Linked DNA regions of Drosophila melanogaster. The main gene of each other region encodes a partner of the protein of the gene in region 3 in a complex. Each region holds a gene or a part of one and is shown on either strand. Other genes may lie near its edges.

The links.
Region 1: Myb (region 3) and mip120 share a complex: the UniProt entries of both Drosophila melanogaster proteins name them as parts of the DREAM complex.
Region 2: Myb (region 3) and HDAC1 share a complex: the UniProt entries of both Drosophila melanogaster proteins name them as parts of the DREAM complex.
Region 4: Myb (region 3) and Caf1-55 share a complex: the UniProt entries of both Drosophila melanogaster proteins name them as parts of the DREAM complex.

Annotation. Positions count from the first base shown.
Region 1 is NT_033778.4:13,507,750-13,513,661, forward strand, and holds mip120 (Myb-interacting protein 120), read left to right. Parts: upstream 1-1,868; 5' UTR 1,869-1,947; coding exon 1,948-1,978; intron 1,979-2,039; coding exon 2,040-3,487; intron 3,488-3,545; coding exon 3,546-4,459; intron 4,460-4,547; coding exon 4,548-4,687; intron 4,688-4,754; coding exon 4,755-5,080; 3' UTR 5,081-5,363; downstream 5,364-5,912. Other genes in the region: mEFTu1 (mitochondrial translation elongation factor Tu 1), read left to right, coding at 1-1,464. UniProt on the Drosophila melanogaster protein: Component of the DREAM complex, a multiprotein complex that can both act as a transcription activator or repressor depending on the context. In follicle cells, the complex plays a central role in the site-specific DNA replication at the chorion loci.
Region 2 is NT_037436.4:4,624,889-4,629,982, reverse strand, and holds HDAC1 (histone deacetylase 1), read right to left. Parts: upstream 3,250-5,094; 5' UTR 3,044-3,249; coding exon 3,001-3,043; intron 2,564-3,000; coding exon 2,451-2,563; intron 2,373-2,450; coding exon 1,127-2,372; intron 1,032-1,126; coding exon 868-1,031; 3' UTR 516-867; downstream 1-515. Other genes in the region: axo (axotactin), read left to right, coding at 1-167. UniProt on the Drosophila melanogaster protein: Catalyzes the deacetylation of lysine residues on the N-terminal part of the core histones (H2A, H2B, H3 and H4).
Region 3 is NC_004354.4:15,854,300-15,859,701, forward strand, and holds Myb (Myb oncogene-like), read right to left. Parts: upstream 3,525-5,402; 5' UTR 3,378-3,524; exon of another isoform or gene 3,315-3,377; 5' UTR 3,229-3,314; coding exon of another isoform or gene 2,875-3,228; 5' UTR 2,806-2,874; coding exon 1,491-2,805; intron 1,427-1,490; coding exon 768-1,426; 3' UTR 533-767; downstream 1-532. Other genes in the region: CG15914 (uncharacterized protein), read left to right, coding at 1-408; CG46440 (uncharacterized protein), read right to left, coding at 2,875-3,228; AlkB, read right to left, coding at 3,899-4,238, 4,301-4,842, 4,894-5,010. UniProt on the Drosophila melanogaster protein: DNA-binding protein that specifically recognizes the sequence 5'-YAAC[GT]G-3'. Component of the DREAM complex, a multiprotein complex that can both act as a transcription activator or repressor depending on the context.
Region 4 is NT_033777.3:15,223,683-15,228,071, reverse strand, and holds Caf1-55 (chromatin assembly factor 1, p55 subunit), read right to left. Parts: upstream 2,497-4,389; 5' UTR 2,180-2,496; coding exon 2,158-2,179; intron 2,107-2,157; coding exon 1,546-2,106; intron 1,436-1,545; coding exon 726-1,435; 3' UTR 508-725; downstream 1-507. Other genes in the region: Art3 (arginine methyltransferase 3), read left to right, coding at 1-421; CG31344 (uncharacterized protein), read left to right, coding at 2,926-2,989, 3,138-3,330, 3,685-4,389. UniProt on the Drosophila melanogaster protein: Core histone-binding subunit that may target chromatin assembly factors, chromatin remodeling factors and histone deacetylases to their histone substrates in a manner that is regulated by nucleosomal DNA.

The DNA.
Region 1 (5,912 bases), on a different chromosome or scaffold from region 3:
CATGCATTTGCCGCCGCCGTCTGCCGGTCCACCGCATCCATGTCATTGGCCCTGCGCTGCAGCCGGCGCGCCATGAGCTCTGCCAGAATGCTGCGTATGGCGGGTGCCACTGCCACCTCCACGGCCTGCAAGGATTGGCAGAGAAACGGACTACTTGCTGCGCCCAGAACCGGCAACATGCAGCAGTACCTGCGCGAGTACGCCAACGAGAAGAAGGTGTTCGAGCGAACCAAGCCCCATTGCAATGTGGGCACCATTGGCCATGTGGATCACGGCAAGACCACGCTCACGGCGGCCATTACCAAGGTCCTGGCCGACAAGCAGCTGGCCGAGAGCAAGAAGTACAATGAAATCGACAATGCGCCCGAGGAGAAGGCTCGTGGTATTACCATCAATGTAGCCCACGTGGAGTACCAGACGGAGACGCGTCACTACGGCCACACAGATTGTCCGGGACATGCCGATTATATTAAGAACATGATCACCGGCACAGCCCAGATGGATGGCGCCATTCTCGTTGTGGCCGCCACCGATGGCGCCATGCCCCAAACTCGCGAGCATATGCTGCTAGCCAAGCAGATCGGCATTGATCACATCGTGGTGTTCATCAACAAGGTGGACGCCGCCGATGAGGAGATGGTCGACCTGGTGGAGATGGAGATCCGAGAGCTGCTTACCGAGATGGGCTATGATGGTGACAAGATCCCTGTGGTAAAGGGCTCGGCGCTGTGCGCCCTCGAGGACAAGAGTCCCGAGATCGGCAAGGAGGCGATCCTGAAACTGCTCCAGGAGGTGGATAGCTTCATCCCCACGCCTGTGCGCGAGCTGGACAAGCCCTTCCTGCTGCCTGTTGAGAATGTGTATTCGATTCCCGGACGCGGCACCGTCGTCACTGGTCGCCTGGAGCGCGGAGTGGTCAAGAAGGGCATGGAGTGCGAGTTCGTGGGCTATAACAAGGTGCTGAAGTCGACGGTGACGGGCGTGGAGATGTTCCACCAGATTCTGGAGGAGGCGCAAGCCGGTGATCAGCTGGGAGCTCTGGTGCGCGGCGTTAAGCGAGATGACATCAAGCGCGGCATGGTCATGTGCAAGCCGGGCAGTGTGAAGGCACTCGATCAGCTGGAGGCCCAGGTGTACATCCTGTCCAAGGATGAAGGCGGTCGCACAAAGCCCTTCATGTCCTTCATCCAACTGCAGATGTTCTCCCGCACCTGGGACTGTGCCGTGCAGGTGCAGATTCCCGATAAGGAGATGGTCATGCCCGGCGAAGACACCAAGCTCATTCTGCGCCTCATCCGGCCAATGGTCCTGGAGCAGGGACAACGCTTCACGCTGCGTGACGGAAACCTGACCCTGGGCACTGGTGTCGTCACCAGCACTCTGCCCCCATTGACTGAATCGCAGCGATCCGAGTTGACGGAGGGCAAGAAGGCGCGCGAGAAGAAGGTGGCGGCTAAGAAGTAGATCCCCGGAACGCCGTCAGTCATTAACTAAAATCATATTCTTAAGCGATTTTTATGCATATTGTATAAGTTGTTGGCGCTCCAATCACAATCGAGTAAAATATAAACAAACACCTATGGACAACGAAGTTTTAAAACTTGGAATATTAGTAGGGATCTTAAAATTGATTTAAAATAGTACGGCTTTTAAGTATTACTGTTGTTGCCTGACATTTCGGCATTTCAAAGGACTATTTGTTATATAAAGTTATGTAAGTAAGCATTGATCATTGATAAAGGGCAATATTTAATTTAGGCGCCACTCATCGATTGCTTATCGCTCTATGTTAACGGCATCCGAAATAGAGTGGTATCGAAATGGAGCCGATAAAATCAAACAAGGCCGATAATAACCTGACTACGACATTTTACAACACTGCTGCAACCGCCTTGAACGCAGCTGATGATAAAGAACATTTTGAAATTGATTTGAAAATTGGCAAAAATGAGTACCTACCGCGTAGACTACTTGACCGGTAGATTCAAGCACCGTAAACGTTTGTTTGCAAAGTAATTAATAACTTATTTTGTCCGCAGATTCCCTAGACGACACGGAACCATTGCCGGAGCTGAGTTTTGAAGACTTTTTGGAGCCAACGTCGGAGAAGAGTTCCCAGCACATGGAAATCGAAGCTCTGGACTCAGAGGAAGACAATATCGGCGGTGAAGATCTGGCCGATCCGGCCAACGATTCCCTGAACACGCCGCAGTTTAAGAAGAACGTGGTCCACATACTGGAGGACAAGAGGTTAAACTCGTCCGGACTAACCGTTTTGAAGTCGCACGCCATTAAGATGGTGACTGCCGGAGGTACTCCTCCGGCCAAGGCGCAAGTTACAGACGTAAAGATACTAAACAAATTGAAACCAATACCCAGCAGTACGCTAAAGATCGGTAGCACGACCATAGCGACCAAATCCACACCGGGCAGCATAACCAAGACTTTGGGCAACTTGACCCAGATTAGGACGAAAGATGGCCAAGTCATCTTTGTCCAGAAGTCTGTTCCTGGAACACAAAGCAGCACTGCGGTGACAGGGTCACCAAGCGGTGGAATAAGACGCCTCGTGGCGCCTTCTGGTATCCAGAAGGCAGTGCTTTCTAAGGGCGTGACCATGGCAAGCACGGGTCTGGTCAAGGCGGCTGTTCCTGCCAAAGCAAGCACCTCGGTACCCGGCTCAGCCATAACCTTAAAGGGCATCCAACCGCTGGCCGGAGGCACTGCGAAGGCGTCGACTTCCAGCACGACGGCAACCACATCCCCATCTTTGGCACAGCCCAACAAAATTCAGGTGGTGCGCACTGCCGATGGCAAAATTATCAAGATCAATCAGGCTGGTCCCTCACTGCTGGTGAACGCCAAACAGGGAACTGGGACCACAGTCACACCAGGAGGTTCTGCCGCCACTTCTGTCAAACTATCTCCCTCCACGGGAAATGTGGTGCTCAACAAGCCCGTTGGCCAGGTAGTGGTGAGAACAGAAACTCCTGTAAAAACGGCGACGGGCTCCGTTGCCAGTGCATCCGCAACACCGGGCAAGATGTTGGTTCAAAGTGGCGGCAAACAGATTCTTGTATCCAACAAGAACATCATTAAGCTGTCGCCGAATGCGAGTGCCACCAGTTCGACAACCCACACGACGGGCGGACAGACACCTTCCACCTCGAGCGGATTGCACGCTATTCAGCTGCCTGGCAAGGGAGGAATACAATATGTACGTGTCCTGAACAACAATAAGAGTGCCGCCGGAACAAGTGCAACAGCCTCAATCCCGAAAACAGTGCAAACTCAGAAGATCACTGTGGTGCGGCCACCGGCTGCTACTGGTGTTCCTGCCACATCTACTACAACATCCGCAGCAGCAGCTTCACCTGCAGCCGCATCGAAGGCAAACCTTGCCATGGGCAACACTAACAAGATTGTAATGCGATCAATGGGTGGCAGCATTGTGCCGCTGCCTTCCGTGCAGACGTTGGTCTCAAAGGTTGGTACTTGTGTTGGTACAAATTTATTTCATTCTAACTCAATTTCCATCTTTAAAGCGTGCGCTGGGCGCCATCTCCAACGCTTCAAAACCAGCCAGTGCGGCGAGCAGCAGCGCCACGCCGAGTGCCAGCCAGGAGTTGCCACGCAAACACCGTCTTACTGATCTCAATGTGCAGCTAAAGCAATCGGCCTCGGTCAGCAGTGAAGCTAGCGACAGCAGCGATGCGGGTCCTGAGGCCAAAAAGCCGCGTTACGTTATTACCATGCAGCAAGGATCACAGAAGGCAGCTTCCCAGCCAGTTCAGAAACTAATTAATCGGACAGCGAATGTACAGCGTGTGGTGTCTAGCAGTACAAGTCCCAGTTCCAACTCCACAAAGAAAATCTACAACTATGTTCAACCGACTGGAAGCAATGGGGCCAAGTACATGATCTGTAACTCGGGTGTGCCCCAATCATCGACGAGTGCCATGCGACGGGGATACACTGGATATGTGGAAAACAAGACGCGACGCCCGCCACCCATTTCCCCGCAACAGCACCGCTTTAAGCAGATGGGTCCCCAGCAGCAGTCCAAGCACCAGCAACTTCAAGCGCAGGCCAAGCAACGGATTAGACAGCAGCAACTGCCTACCGAACAATCGACGCCGATCAAGGTCGAGCCAAAGTTGCCGACACTGCCTCCGGGGGTGAAGGCCAATGTACCTGCCAAGCCGCTCTTTGAAGTCCTAAAACCTCCAGCAACCGCGGCAGCAGCCGGAGCCGTCGATCCATTGGGCGGCATGACTTCGCGGCGAAAGCACTGCAACTGCAGCAAGTCGCAGTGTCTAAAGCTTTACTGCGATTGCTTTGCAAACGGCGAGTTTTGTCAGGACTGCACCTGCAAGGATTGCTTTAACAATCTGGACTACGAAGTGGAGCGGGAGCGTGCTATTCGCAGCTGCCTCGATCGTAACCCCAGCGCCTTTAAGTAAGTTTATTTGAAAGGAAAAGCTTATGAGGTCTATCCTATGTTTCTAAAGATGCTAATCACAACTACTTTTTTTTTTTTTAAACAGACCCAAAATTACGGCACCCAATTCAGGTGATATGCGTCTGCATAACAAAGGTTGCAACTGCAAAAGATCGGGCTGCCTCAAGAACTATTGTGAGTGCTATGAGGCAAAGATTCCCTGCTCCAGCATATGTAAATGCGTTGGTAAGTGAACTGATAAATCTGTTTTATCTATGATCAAACTAACTGAATCAATCAACTTATTATTTAGGGTGTCGAAACATGGAAGACCGTCCGGACGTGGACATGGACTCTCTGGACGGATTGATGGGTGTCGAGGGTCAGAAAAAGGACAAAGCTAAAAACAAGCAATTGAACGAGAATCGCGCAAATATATATTTTACGGACGATGTCATTGAGGCGACCATCATGTGCATGATATCGCGGATTGTGATGCACGAGAAACAGAATGTGGCCGTGGAGGACATGGAGCGCGAGGTTATGGAGGAAATGGGCGAAAGTCTGACACAGATCATCGCTTTTGCCAAGGAAAAGCAAGAAACCTCTCAGATAGACGAGTCCAAGCCTTCTTCTTAGGCATGCAAATATAGTCACACATTAATTAGTTTATAAGTTCAAAGAGTTCTTGACCTTTTCTCAATCATATTCTAATTTTGGCTTTCTAAAAGTTGACCTTAAAGTAAAGTGTTTACCCTATTTAAATAATTTAAACACAAAATGTATATATCATACATAGCAAATTTCAGATATAAGGCTATTTTAATTTTTGGCCGAGCATTGTAATTGTGTTGTAAACTTTTCCCTTGGATTGAATGTAAATAATTTAGATACCTAATAAAGTTTAATGACCATTGAACACAAATGAAAAGAGACGTTGTGTTGTTTTGTAGCTTGTTTATTCACCAACAACTTCAGTTACATATTTGTATTTTGCATTTGCATTGTTTCAAATTTATTGATGGGCGAGTATATTAAACTCAACGCAATTTAGTTTGGTTTTTCACAATATCGGTATCAGCTTAGTTAGCAATATCTCTATAAAATAAACACATGTCGAATGACTACAGTATAGGTAATGCATATATTAGTTGATTGTATTGATAGTAGGTATTTAGTTTTGTATATATGTAGTTTTTTTTGTTTAAGTATAGTTATATATTCTACTTGGTCACCATTGGTATGTATAAATAGCATATAAGTATGTTTGTGTTCTGGTTTCTCCCGGTTCTCACCCTATAAACATGGCATGGCATGACATGAGTACATATGTGTGTATGTATGTAGTTTCAAGGTTTGAGTAAAAATGTGATAATCGTTTAAGGACTATAGTACATATACGTGGTTAGTAATGCTAATATATATATATATATATATGCCCTGTTATACATATTTTTCATACACTGTTTTG
Region 2 (5,094 bases), on a different chromosome or scaffold from region 3:
GACAGCATCACTCGAAAGTGACGCGCCCACCCCCGCCGCCGACGCTTTTCCTGGAAAACTCACTGCTGCAGCGCCAGTTCGCGAATCCAATTAGTTACTTGGGTGGACCGCGTCTGCAGCCGCGCAGTAATCGCACCAGCATCGACTCGATATTATCGCTGGATTAGCACCGCAGCCAGTTTCCAGTTCTCCGCCCACTGCAATCCGTGGAAAACCTCGCCGACTAGTCACAAACTGTCAACTGGTGGGCGGGAAAACCCCCAGTGGATCCTTTTCTCCCCCCCAAATGCCACAATCTCCTCAACTTAGAAACTCAAAGTTAAAATCTTAAAAATTGTTAGCTAGTCCTAGTTAAAATACAAATAAATTGTTACAAATTATCGTTTAGTTTGTTACTAAGAAACCTAAATGTGGAAACGTAAGTATTTTGCTAAAAATGGGAAATCGAATACTTCCAAAAGAAAATATTTAAAAGATAGCAGCTCAATTAATTTTCCATTAAAATTAAAATCAATAAATGTATAAATATTTTTATTTGATTAAATTAGTTTCTGCGTTATTCGCCACATTGGATCGCTTGTAAGTATGCATTCACTTTTTGCTTAGCTATACACTTTCGATCTTAAAATAAATTGTGTTTCCGCCCACTGATTACTGATTTATCCCCCTTTGGGAATATTCCCACTGAAAAAAAGGAGCCGATCGCAGTGGGACCTTGTGTAGGGGCGTGTAGAAAAAGCCCTGGACATGGCTACGGGGCGTGTTGGTGAAGGGGGGCGCGGGAATGAGACGACACTAGGTGAAATCCGGTGGCTTGTACTTCGGCGGTCGCTTAATTGGCTTCTATAACCAATTGCGGCCGCCACGTCAAATGTTGTTCTCCTTGGCGCCCTTGGCCCCGGCACCGGAACCTGATCCCGAACCGGATCCGGCATTAGCTGTCGCTCCGGCATCATTATCGCTCTTGTTGTTACTGTTGTTGTTGCTATTGGTATTAGACGCCGTCGATTCCTCGCCATCAGCTCCGTCGCCTGAAAACAGCATAATGGTTTAGTTAGTAGGGTTTAAATACAAATTACAAGTGGTCAGTAGAACCAATTAAAATGACTAATGGTTAATCACTCACCCTTTTCCTTTTCGTCCTTGATCTCGCTGGACGTCTCTGAGGATGCCTTGTTGCTGTTGGTGTCCTTGTCGAGACGCGGCCGCTTCCGCTGACCCTTGTACGAACGGTTATCCCTGCGACCGCCTTCGCCCTCATCCTCCGAATCGGAGTACTCGTTCTCGGGCACAATGCGCTTGTCCTTGTCGCTCTGCGGCAGGCGATCATCCTTGTCGACCTTGTCCTCGTCGTCGGACTCATCGTTGATGGCATCCTCGGGAATCGCTTGGATTTGAACGCCCGGAGCGTGAGGCAGCATGCGCAGGTTCTCGAACAGACGGTTCTTGATCTTCTCCAGGTACTCGGATGTATTCTGATTCGTCATATTGCTGGGACTAATGTGCAGCTTAAAATCGGGCCCAAAGTACTCGAAGTAATCGTTGTAGGGCAGTTCGTTGGCTATCTCCACGGCCAGTGCAACGGAGGTCTCATAGGTCCAGCAGCGGGATACATTACGAATGGTATAACCACCACCGCCGACCATCAGGAATGGCAGGTTATATTTCTTCACGAACTCCACGCACTTGCCGTGACCCTTGACGGTGAGATTGAAGCAGCCTAACCGATCGCCAGTCAGCGAATCGGCGCCACACTGCAACACCACGGCTGCCGGCTGGAATGTTTCCATCACCTTGCTGATAATGGGCACAAATATGCTCTCGTACGCATCATCATCCATGCCATCACGCAGGGGTATATTCACCGCATAGTACTTTCCCTTGCCGGCGCCAATGTCTCGCAGATCGCCAGTGCCCGGGAAATACTCTCCGTACTTGTGGAAGCTGACAGTCATCACACGATCGGTGGTATAGAACGCCTCCTCCACGCCATCGCCGTGATGGACGTCTATATCTATGTAGAGAACACGCTGATGGTATTTAAGCAGTTCCAGAATTCCCAGAACAATGTCGTTGACGTAGCAGAAGCCCGAGGCTTCCGATTTTTTGGCGTGATGCAGCCCACCGCCCCAATTGATGCAGATCTCCGAGGCTTGCTTATTCAGTTTTACGGCCGCAGCTACGGATCCTCCGGCGGAGAGTTGGCAAAACTCGTATAGTCCATCGAAGACGGGACAATCTTCGCCGACATTGAAACGCTGCATCTGCTTGTTGTACTCCGACATGTTGTCCGGCCGAATGGATCGCAAGAACCGGACGTACTCGTCCGAGTGGAACTTGGTCATCTCATCGGCAGTGGCTTTATGGGGACGCTAGAATAGAGAAATTCGCGTTTAAATCTATCATATATATATATATATCTATCATCACATATTAATAAAGTAACTCACGTATATTTCCATTTTTCGATAGAGCCCATAGTTGAGCAGCAGGTTGTGGGTCATGCGTATGCGATGGGGCTTCATGGGATGACCCTGGCCATAGTAGTAGTTGCCAATGTCGCCTATGGATCAAAAATCGCAATTATGAGCACGTTGAAAAAGTAATTATTTGCCACGCTATGTGGAATACAAATTTTAAGGCCACTGTCGGCGAGGCGTCTGCCTGAGAGCAGCACTTTTTCCGAACGACCGCAGTAGTAGCACTTTCGCCCCGAACGAAAAAGCAACAAAAACACACAGAAGAGGAAGATAGACATCAGGTACATACACACACAAACGCATACAAACGCACTGCGGTCGTATGGAAAAAGTGCGCTGTGGACCGGAACGCGCTCGTACAGTCGCCGTAAAACTTGAAATTTGCAAAAATGCTATCATCTGATGCTAAGTGGATGCGGAAAAAACACAAAGTCGACATGGTAACCCTAGCTGGCACTTTGTAAACACAAATTACCCATCTAGTAGGCCTTTTACTTCCATTTAAATGCTCAAAACTTACTGTCGTAGTAGTAACAAACGCGCTTTTTGCTGTGAGACTGCATTTTGCGGTGCTGTTGGCGGGTCTTAAATCCCCTTAAAGTCGATGTTTTTCTATCCTTCGTCGATCGGATGAACTTGCGAGCTCAGAAGATGGTTTACTTTGGTGCCGGTCCGATTTTTGGCACTTTGGCGCAACTATATAGCCAAAATCGGAGCGCACAAGACAAATTCGCGAAGAGGAAACCTCTGCAGATGGGCAGTGTGACCGCGGACTTTTTTAAATCCACACTTCCCGGCTCTGCAGAATATACTTTTAATACTAACTGCATGAATACCGAAAATACCAAACAAATATATTTAATTATTTATTAAAGAAATATATTTAATAAATTTACATATGAAATACGATTACCCTCTTCATACAGAGTGGTCATTTTTTATTAGATATATAAACAATCAGACCTATGTACTTATCAAAAATTATCAAATATCACGACATATTTTTTGGAAAAATAGCAAGGATCAATTATAAGTTTATAAAGCAAAGTTTATTGGCTAAGATCACGTTGCAGAGTCTGAAGCTGGAACTAGAGATGTTGTTGGAAAACATTTAAGTTTAAGCATTCGAATAAACTAATTGATTTCAATATTTTCTATACAAATATAAATGATTCATTATAATTTAAGAAAAACAAAAACACAGAAGTAATAGGTTGTAGTCCGGGGTAAATAATGTTAAGTCGATTAATCGATAGGAATCCATGCTAATATCGAACTTGGCCCATCGCCAGAGGGTGCATTCCCTCTCTCTCTTTCAGAGCATCACCCATCTCGCTCTAAAATCCACCGCAGTTTCCCACGATTTTCCTTCTCACTCTAAAATTCACCGTTGAACGACTCGGACGCGATTTTCCAGCGCGGGTGATTTTCCTCCTCGGTCGGCGTTTTTCGGCGGCTTCTTATCGACAAACAATAGTGCTCAAGTACAACGAGATTTTGTAGTGTTTTGGAGTTGCTGAATTAGAGGCGATTGTTAATTGAATAAAATTAATAAAACGGCGACGCGTAAGTTTCCAACTCCCCCATGTGCAAGTGTGCGTGTGTGCCCTGTGTGTGTGTGTGAAAAAAGAGAAAGAAGAATGGAGTTGCAGTGGAAACACAAACACGCTCTCTCGCTCCATCTCCCTCGCACGCACACACTCACTGGGCGAATGAAGAAGTGGAAAAATTAAAACCGAAGTAAAGTGACAAAGCGAAGTGGCCAATAATGCAAGAAAAAACATATGAAACCCGCAGTGAACATTTAAAACAAAATTAACATTTTTCATAGGCGGCTAAAATATCCTGCGCAGCTTTTCTCTTTCCGACTTTTCTCTTTTTCCCTTAAGAGTCTTTTCCTATGCCTTTCCCCCTCGGAGACCAACGCCTCTCCTTCGCAACTTTCTGTTACTTTATGTTAACTTCTCCCCTTCTTTCTCTTGGTTTTCCTCCTGTATTTTTCTCTGTTGTTGTTGCTGTGCCCGCAGGATATTTAAGACCTTTTTTTGCTGGCGTTTAATTATAGTTTTCATTGCTCTCTCTCCTTCCCGCATCTCTTTTTCCAATTAGCGTCGAAGTTCGGCGTAAAGTAAACAGCAAAAATATAGTATTTGTTGTTTTTATTTGGCCCGCAGACCGTGCAGTAAAAACAACAACTTTAACAGGCGTAACTGTAAAGTCCGCTTTGCTTTTGATAGCAAATAAAGAGAATCGGAATCCGCAGCAAAGTTTTGATTTATTCTAATTAAAAAAGGTAAGTGCGATATAAAACCGGATTATAGCTCCTTTTCATTCGCACCTCCTTGGCCCGAAGTGCCGTTAGGAAGAGAAGCCAATGAACGCAAATAAGTAAACACAAAAACTAAAAAAAAGAGTGCTAGATTTGCTCTCCCGCTGCATTTCTATTTATGCTTCTGTGGCTGATAATGTGTACAGTGAAAAGTCGAAAGATGAAAAAATAATGAAGAAATGGAATAAAGCTTAACTTAAGGAATCTTAAGACTTGTTGTTTGTTATATTTCGACACATACTAACCATTTCTTCAGGCTTCTTTGCGCTTAAAAAAATACCCAAT
Region 3 (5,402 bases):
CCGGAGGAATTCGAGCATATACAGGAGAAACTGGGCAGCAAGCTGGTGAACTTTGGCCATCTGGAGCGTGAAGAGTACTTGAAGACCCTGCTGACTGGGGACATTGTGATATCAACTGCCGACCATGAGTTTTTTGGAGTAGCAATGCTGGAGGCCGCTTTCTGCGGCTGTTATCCCATTGCGCCCAACAAATTGGTCTACCCGGAAATCTACCCAAAGGAAAACCTCTACAACACCTCCAATGCGCTGACGAAGAAGCTCTACAACTTTTGTAGAATGCCGAGGGTCTTTCGCAAGCAGCGCGATCAATTCTTTGAGAACTTTAATTTCGATCGTTTTTCGGCGAAAGAACTAGTGCCAAAATATCTGGACATATTCAATAAACATATTGCAGACGAACAAAGTTAGAAATCGAAGGTTTGGCAAATGTCTATCAAAATATTCTCTGTAATATAATAGATATATTTTTGAATAAATATATCTCTCTTCTGTAACCTACAAAGCCAAAAAAAAACGATATATATATGTAAGTCCTTTGTGTTAAAACACGCTTCATTCACTTTAAGCATTTATTTATTTATGAAATATCCGAAAAAAATGGGATACAATTTAAGGTGGATGTAACCAATAATGCCATAAATGTAGCACAATAAATTCTATTTCGAAAACACAATTTGGATGAAAATTTGGGGATTCATATCTACAATATTATAAAGATGATGCGTATAGAATTTTGTTTGTAATACCTGAATATAGCCACATAGAATTTAGAGCGAACCAAAGCGGTCGAACGAATTCACCAAACACTTTTGTTTCTCGAAGTTCAGGGAGCGCGAAATACAGGACAGATTTTTGAGGCACGCATAAGCCTGCTCCTCCATAAACATTTGATCTCTGGACTTGCCACAAGCGACGCGTGCCCACTTGGGATCAATGACATGATCGTAGGTCAAGCCACCGCGGTACTTGTTAATTCTGCGATTATGGAATGGTCGATTCTCCTTTCTGCCCTCGTCGAACGGCAGGTCCTGTTCGCTGCACAGCGTGTCCTTCAAAATATCGCCCGGCGATGTGAGAAACTTGCTGGGCGTCTCGGTTTCGAAGGGTTGAATCCTCTTGGCGGAGCCAGCGTTGTATGGATGATTGGAGCTCCAAGTTGAGAGCAATGACTTCCTGGCACGTTTCATATGCGGCGGCGACTGAGCATTGTATTCGGTGCTTAGCGTTGAGTTCTGATCGGCGGCGCCCATCATTTTGGAATTGTTTGCGGTCAGCGAGTTGCTCAGATGCTCTTCATGGATGATTTCGGCCAGATCCTCCACCAGACTGGATGGGCTGGAGGGCTCGTATCGACGACCGTCCCTCTTCTTGCCGATGGCAGCAAGTGCCTTTTTGAAGGGCGTTGGTGTTCGTGGTCCAAGTTGACCTACAAATAACGATGATTGTGTGTATTCAAGATGCATTTGAAGCCAACAGTGGCTTGTACTTACTCTTGTGTGGAGTTTCTATCGACGATGTCTCCATTTCCTTTTTGATCTCCATTCCAACGCGATTATAGACCTTGGTTACCGGCGTGCTAGCCCGCAGATCCATATCTTCAAAGGTGGTCAGGCAAGGCGACTTGAGGAAGTGACTCGGTGAAAAGGGTAGCGACTTAATGGGCGATATGACGGGCGAACTCGGTGGTCGCGACCTGGCGTTTCCGGCGGCTTCTTCCTGGTTGAATGTCTCACTTGATGAACATCCTGCCTGATGGTGAGTTTCGGGAATGTGTTTGCGTGTACGCTTCAATATGATCGGTGTTTGGCGCGGCATGGTCAACTTAATGAGATGCTGCATACTGAGGTGTGCCAGATTGGATCCCTTTTGATGATCGTCTTGTGATTCCTGTGCCAGATCACCACCTTTCACGGCAGTAACCGAAGCGCCATCGGCGTTTTCGGATTTATTAACTGCCTCACCACCAGATTCCTTGTTATGTTGCATATTATTCATACACTTGCTGATGCCACCGGACTTGATCAGCGTGATGAGATGGGTTCGCGAACTCTTCAAATCGCTACCAGATGCATTAACCGATCTGCGTTCGACGTCATATTTGCGACGCATTGTTGAATTCCAATGGTTTTTAATGGCGTTATCGGTGCGTCCGGGCAGACGTTTGGCAATCTTTGCCCACTGGTTGCCCAGCTCCAAGTGAGCCTGGTAGATAATCTCGTCCTCCTTTTCGGTCCAGGCCGTTTTCTTGATATTCGGATTGAGGTGGTTGTGCCATCTCTCGCGGCACTGTTTCCCAATTCGTCCGTTCAGATATCGTGCAATTAGTGTCCATTTCTTGGGCCCGAAGTTGCGCACCAGCTTAATAACCATGTCGTCCTCGTCCCGCGTCCACGGGCCCTTGATTAGCTCCGGATTGAGGACTTTGGCCCAACGCTGCTGCACTTGCTGTTCCAGGCGATCCTTGAAATGCGGTCCGATAATCTCCCAGTTCTCACCGTGCGTCTCCACCAGCTGCTTGAGCAACACATCCTCGGACTTGGACCAGCGTTTGCCGAATCCATAGTTCGGATGCACTGCACCGATGCTAGTTTTACCGCTTTTGTTCTGTCCCTTTTGCCCCGTCGTCTTGGAGTCCTGTAGTTCGGGCGAGTCCAGTGGATAGCCCGAATCGGCATTGCTGTTCTGTTGTGAATCCTTGTCGCAAACTTGGGTATCCTCGTTCTCCGAGTACTCGGACTCCTCCGAATCCGAATTGCTGCCGTAATTCATCAGCTCCTCGCCGTTTTCAGTGCTCGCACTTGCCATCTTAAGATCAACTTTATAGGTATATATATATGAATAATGGCGCTCTTTGTATATATGTGTATGGGTTCTTTAACGCTGCTTGCGGGGCGAACAAAAGTGATAGATCTCCGGCTCTGACTTGTTCCCACGCTGGAAACGATGAACGTCGCGTTTGCAGTACAAGCACTTGGGCAAATGATCCAGAATATGCGGATGGTAGAATATGTAGTGCGAGCAAATGTCGCTGTACGAGTTACACTTGAATTGATTTCCGCACGTCAGGCAGTCGACCAGTTCACGTTGATGATCGCTGCGCAATATTGGGTGCGTCGCATCGCTCTCGGTCCGCCCAAAATCGAATAGTTTTGTTTGCTGCTCCTCGAGGCGATTTTGGTTTGGATTCGTGTTCTTTGTTACTTGAAGATTACAGATATTTGTGGACATACTCATTCAGGCAGCGAACTAAAAAGCAGATGCAAGTTTTACGATATTACGTTTATGCCAAACATTTTGATGCTCTATATTTAGCACTGAGGAAAACGGGGGAAAAAAATTACCACTCGCACATTTGTCTTCATCTAAAGTGGTGCTACCGTTATTTCAAATTCAAACTGCTGGGCTATGGGTACACACTTTGGTGTTTTTGATCAGTTCATTCACGTTTTCACACTGGAATTTTACGGCGTCGCATCTTATTATATTAAATGTAGTACTTAGTGTGACCGTTACACGAGCACTAGCGTTGTAATTCAAAACGATTAAAATCTATCGATAAATAATCACTACGGTAATCGGCACGTTTCCACTAGAAGTCAATATCTTGTACGATAGCTGGGATAGTATCGATATTTAGCTATCAACTTCTTGGAAATATTGTTAAAAAGTTGCCATCGGATAAAATAATTTTGTCAGAATTGCCAAATTTAGTTGTCAGTAGCATTTATAGGGACTGAAAAATATATTTATAAAACTATTAACTTCACCTATACATTTAAGATATTTCCATTGAACGCATCACTTCAACGTTAATTGCTATGTTTCTTTAGTTTTCAATTGAAATGCAGTTTTTTATTTTGTAAAATACTATAAAATTAAAAATTTTTCCAAGGAGGGGTTAAAGCTTAACATCTCCTGGATTTAAAACTTGACGTATATTAATATTAATACGTGAATCGTCCATATATCTCGAAAAAGGCTCCCAAAATTGAGGGTTGCCAACATCATGAAATAAATCTTTATCAATTGTACGCGTTTTAATATCTGCATTATCGACATCTTCAATTATCAGTGATAAAGTCGCGGAAGCCTGAGTTTTGATGATACGAGGAACTGCGTGATAGCATAGACGCGATTCTCCGGACATTATCATAACGTCCCCGGATTGAAGGTAGATAGCGGTTGGCTTTTCTTCTAAAGATCTTCCACCAATTAGAAATATTGCAGTCTGACCAAAACTGTAAGCATAAAATTAAAAAAAAATTAGCTGCACGGATATGTTTAATCCGTGATATATTACCTAAAAGAAAACAAAGGGGCCGATTTGTTTGGTTCAGAGTGATCTGTGTGACCCGATAACGTACTACCAACTGGATAGTAATTTACAATTGCGGCTTCTGGCTTAAAATCCGCGTATCCCAACGCTTGCGCAAACAATCCGCATAGACTGCTCAAATCTTCGGGAAACGGCGACTGCATCTCCTCATCATAGATCTTCGTGTCCCAGTTGTGATGATATCCAAATGTCGTCCAACGCATCGCGGATTTTATACGTTGGAACTCAACGCCATCGCTGCACAGATTAAGCTGTTTCCACCAGTCCGACCTGACGGATTCATCGAAGAGCCTTTCATTTAAATTGACTATATTTGGCGTTCGCGGAAAATCCCGCAGACATCGGGCGCTCCAATAACGCCGGCCTCGTTCCGAGAATGGATTCCGAATCACAATAATGCCGGGATGGTTAGTTAATGTATAGGTTCGCCAATCTTTTGGCGATTTAACGCCTGGCATTGTCTGTAGGCTTTCTACATTGCTGATACTTAATCGTTGAACAATATTCTGAGGGGAATGTAGAAATCATAATTCAATTGCAACGGATCGAGTACTTACATTATCACTCTTTTCTTGATCATTCCCCTTGACTACACAATCATCGATCTTAACAACTTCCGTTAAATCAGGACTGGTACTTTTGCACTTGTACTGCTTAAAAACTAGCTTGAACATGCTTCATAAACAATAAGTACAATATAAACAATAAGTTAATATAAACGATAGCAATAGTGTGACTGCGTTTGGAGAAATCTTAAATGCTTTTGAGCACGTTTAGAAATCAGACATGTGGTGGAAATACTATGGGATAGATATAAAAATTAAAAATGAATGCAATTCATAAGAGACATTGCCGAAAAAGCTCGAATGTCCTTTTCATGGAAAAAATTTTAAGCCTTTTTTCATGAGGTGATTCATTTGTGATTAATCTTATCGATATAAAGTTATCGATATATGAACGGGACTTTTAACTATTTTGAAATATTTTTGTTGTTTTGAGACCGATTTTTTCATTGTTTACGTTTTTGCAGTGATCGTTTTCATTATTTCGGTCGAAGATACGTCTT
Region 4 (4,389 bases), on a different chromosome or scaffold from region 3:
CATGAGCGATCTGCGAAAGCAATCAATAGAGGAGCCACTCATGCAGGTGGTGGATGCAGAGTTCATGCTGACGGAACCCGAACAGATAGCTAACTTCGACATAATGACCGTCGATATGAACTATCCAAACTTTACTCACCAGTTTAGCTTAAAGGTCACGAAGCCGGGACGATTATCCGCCTTTGTCGGTTACTTTGAAACATTGTTTGAACTACCCTCCCCCGTCATGTTCAGCACATCACCATCTGCGACGCCCACCCATTGGAAGCAAACGGTTTTCTTCATCGAGAACCCGCAGGTTGTGAAGGAAGGAGACGTCATTTGTGGGAAAATCACGTCAAGAAGACATAAAGAGGATGTCAGAGGACTTAGTGTGGACATAGAAGTCTTTGGCAAGAAACACAAATACAATGTGGTTTAATGTGCTTCTTTTTGAATAGAATTAAATAAAATACGCTTGAAGATCTAAGTTGGTATTTAATTTCAAAAAAATTAACCTCATTTCTTGACTTTTTAATCATTTTTAATTAAAAATTCATAGATTGTACAATCTGCTGACAAATGAGAGCTTAATTAAATTTTGTTTTTAAAAATATGTAAATATATATAAATTAAAATGAGTACCCATTGCCATTTAGGCTGGATAGCTGGACACGGGGCACGGCCAAAACATTATCGGATTCAGTTGTAGTTTGGTGTGTATTATAGGAGGCGGAACAGATGCTTTAAGCGGTATTGGTTTCTAACTCGGAGGCGGGAATCTCTGGCTCCTCGTCGTTGTAAACATTCTCGGCCATCTGCCAGACCTGCATAATATTGTCCTCGGACACGGAGCAAATGATCCATGGCTCATTGGGGTTCCACGAGAAATCGCTAATCTTGGCAGTGTGACCGCCATGGATGAAGAGCAGCTCGGGTGGTCCGTCCTCAGCATCCTCCGTACTCTGCTCCTCGCCGATTTTGGACAAATCCCAGACGTGTAGGCGGCGGTCAGTGCCGGAGGAGGCGAGAATAGTCTCGTTATGCGGCGACCACTGCACTTGGAAGATCTCGTCCTTGTGCGACTCGAAGGAATGTAGTTTTAGCTTGAGGTTGCGCAGATCCCATAGAGCTACAGTCTTGTCAGCGGAGCCCGTGGCCAGAATGAACTCCGAGTAGGGATTAAAGCTCAAGCAATTGACTTCCGCTGTGTGAGCGTCCACTGTATGCGAGGGCTTCGAGGTGTTGTTGTTGCGCGTGTCCCAGATCATCAGCTTCTGGTCGTCAGCCACCGATCCGAACAGAGACTCATGTAGCAGATGCCAAGCCACGTCCTCAACAACGGCGGTGTGGCCGGTGAAGATGTTCTTGGCATCAATAACCCTATGCTCCTTGGGTGTGGCATTGATGTCCCACAAGCAGATGGTGTGATCATCAGAGGCTGACAGCAAATAGCCTGTAAGGACAATCAAGATGTTCATTAAGGGTTAAAACGTAATGCATTTTAGATGTGTCAAGCTCTTATCTGAGCTAATATATAAGTACTAGGTACAGCTACGCACTTACCATTGAGGTTGGGATTCCAAGAGAGTCCGTAGCCTTCCTTTTGATGACCGCGCAGCCGCAGGTCAGGCTGGCACTCGCCAGACGGTTCCGGCTTGCTGGGATGCTTCGTGTAGTCGAAGACCAGGACATCACTCGACGGCGTCTTGGTGGCGATTACACAGGCGTTCTGGGGCATGTAGCGGGCCCTGTTCACTTCGCCCTCGTGGTTGATCTTAATCTCGATTTCGATTTTGCCGCACACCGATCCAAAGCCTCCAAACTCGCCCTTCTCGTTATCGTAGTGCGAACCATCGAACTGGGCATCCTCGCTGGGCAACTGAACGCTGGCGATGAGTAGATGGTTCTGCTCGTCAGATGTGTGTGTGCCCAGTATAAGACGATGTACCGAGTAGTCCTTGCCATCCTGCTTGGTCACGTCCGGCAGCCACTGGGCAGTCAACGAGGGCCATTCCAGGGCATGCGTCATGACCAGATCGTACAGGAACGGCGTGTTCTTTTTCCAAATCTTATACTCCTCATTGATCACGCGCTCCTCGACGGCGTCGTCGAAGGATTCCGCTGCTAAAGGTCGATGGTTACACATTGCGGCGATTAACTTCTAACCGGACTTACCATTATCGCTGCGATCCACCATTTCGAGGCTTTTAGGCACGCAATTTCTCAGTCTGCGTCAAAAGTCGGCAGCCGAAAAAATCGGGCGCCAAAACAAAAGCCGAAGCGGCAAAACGTGTGCAGAAAAACTACGAAAGTTCGCTACGTAGTTAAAGCTCTCGCAACGAACACTTGACCGAAAGTCGTTGTGGCAGGGATTGAGTCGAATCCTGGCCGGGAACTTACACTTTAAACGGCGTAACGTCAGGGCAAAATAGAAATTGGCTAATTTCCTTCGTTTTTTTGCAAGCGCGTCGTCGATGATAGAGATGCAATGCTAAAGATTGTCGAGACGACTGCCATATTCGATTACGATAACGATAACAGAGTTATGGAGATGACACTGCGCGGTATTTTTATACTTGTTACGTTCCTGCGTCATGATTTTAGTATTTTGTGGTTTACATCGATATATTTGGGGTTTTAAAAGGTATATTTTAACGGTTGCAGTTGCGGGCACACTAAAGTGCATAAACAAAGTTTACTACTTAATTCGTTATCAGTGCGAATGATTCGAAACCAGTTTACGCGCCAATGACCGGCTTTCCATTCTTATTTGACGAGCCTAACGTGCCAGTTGCAGTTAAGTTCCCCAACCGCAACGACGGTGGGCAGCCGTGATTCATCCTCAACGCTTTTTTTCCAATTGTGTATGCAAAATGTTTTTGCACGTAACGAGCTGAACTATTGAGTTTGCTAAATAGTTTAACAAGCAATAATTTGGCCGACATGCAGGTTGATGGTTGTACCAGCAGCTCATCCGAGATCCCCCATCCCGCGAAGCGTGAAACGTGTAAGTGCACAGTGGACTTGTTGGCGGGTTGAATGAAAAACTTTCTCTCTTGGCGCGCCGACGATTTTGTTTGTCTTTTCTTTCTTTCACTTGTGTAATCCGAATTTGGACCTCAAGCTCGTTTTCTACATCGCACGTCACTTTCCAGGGATCAGTGGGAAAATGCAGTCGTCATCGCATTCCAAAGATGGTCATAATGCAGCGGGGGCTTCAAAACTGCTTCAGGATCACCAGGAGCCCGAGGACTACTTGGAGCACCTAATGAAGGAGGGCAGTCAGGAGGGCGACAGCGGTGCTGATTTGGAGCTACCTTCGTGGTACGATGAGCAGCTATTCAGGCGGTAAGTTGCGTGACTAATTGTTCACTGATTGCATATTAGCCCAGTAACCACAGTAGAAATAATTGTGATAATTACAATATCCATATACACATGGGTTATTTATAAGCTTGGAGTTATGTAGCAGTTTGCTATGTGAATAATAATGCGAAAAGGCAGCATATAATACTTATCTTTATCTGTGCTCATTATTCCAATTTTGTACCTACGGGCTTACATATTAATAACAAAAGGCGACATACATTTACTTTTAACAATATATATGTATATGTACATGTATGTATATGTATATTTTAATTTAAATAATATAACTGCATTCGAATTACTTAATTGATTCTTTATTCCTTTTCCTTGCAGTGGTCAGAGCTACTTTAGCACGTATCGCTTTGTAATGAACGCCGGAATGCTGGCTGGTCTTATTGCCGTGCTGGCTATTCCATCCATTCTCCGGGTGCTGTCGTGCACACGCCAATCCTCGACAGCGTTCACCGCCTACCGTCGCTATGTGCGTACTATATTCCACACGCAAGCCTGGTATAACCACAACATCGCGGACCGTGGCAGCAGGTTCTGGACCAGCATTGCGGCCGTGAGGCGGGCCCACAGCCGCTCCAGTCATGCGTGCGCCCGCCAAGGAGCTGGACAGATCACCCAGAAGGATTTGGCGCTCACGCAGTTCGGTTTCATTGGCTTCATAACGATGGGCGCACATCGCATAAAGCTGAAAGATCAGGACTTCCTGGAGGCCACTACGCATATGTGGCGCGTTCTCGGCTATCTGCTGGGCATCAAGGATGAGTACAACATCTGCGGTAGGAACTGGGCGGAGTCAAAGCTCCGCCTGGACATTGTGATGCGTAAGGTATACGAACCAGCTCTGGCAAACACTGGGGAGGATTTCAAACGAATGACCGAGGCCCTGATTAATGGCTTGTGGCACATAAACACCATGCTGTCGGTGAATGCCAACATATTCTTTGCCAAGCGATTGGCCTGCGTTAAGGGATACGAGTACTACAGTTTCGATCATGAGAACGGAGTGGCGCAGGATCCCCAGCAGAA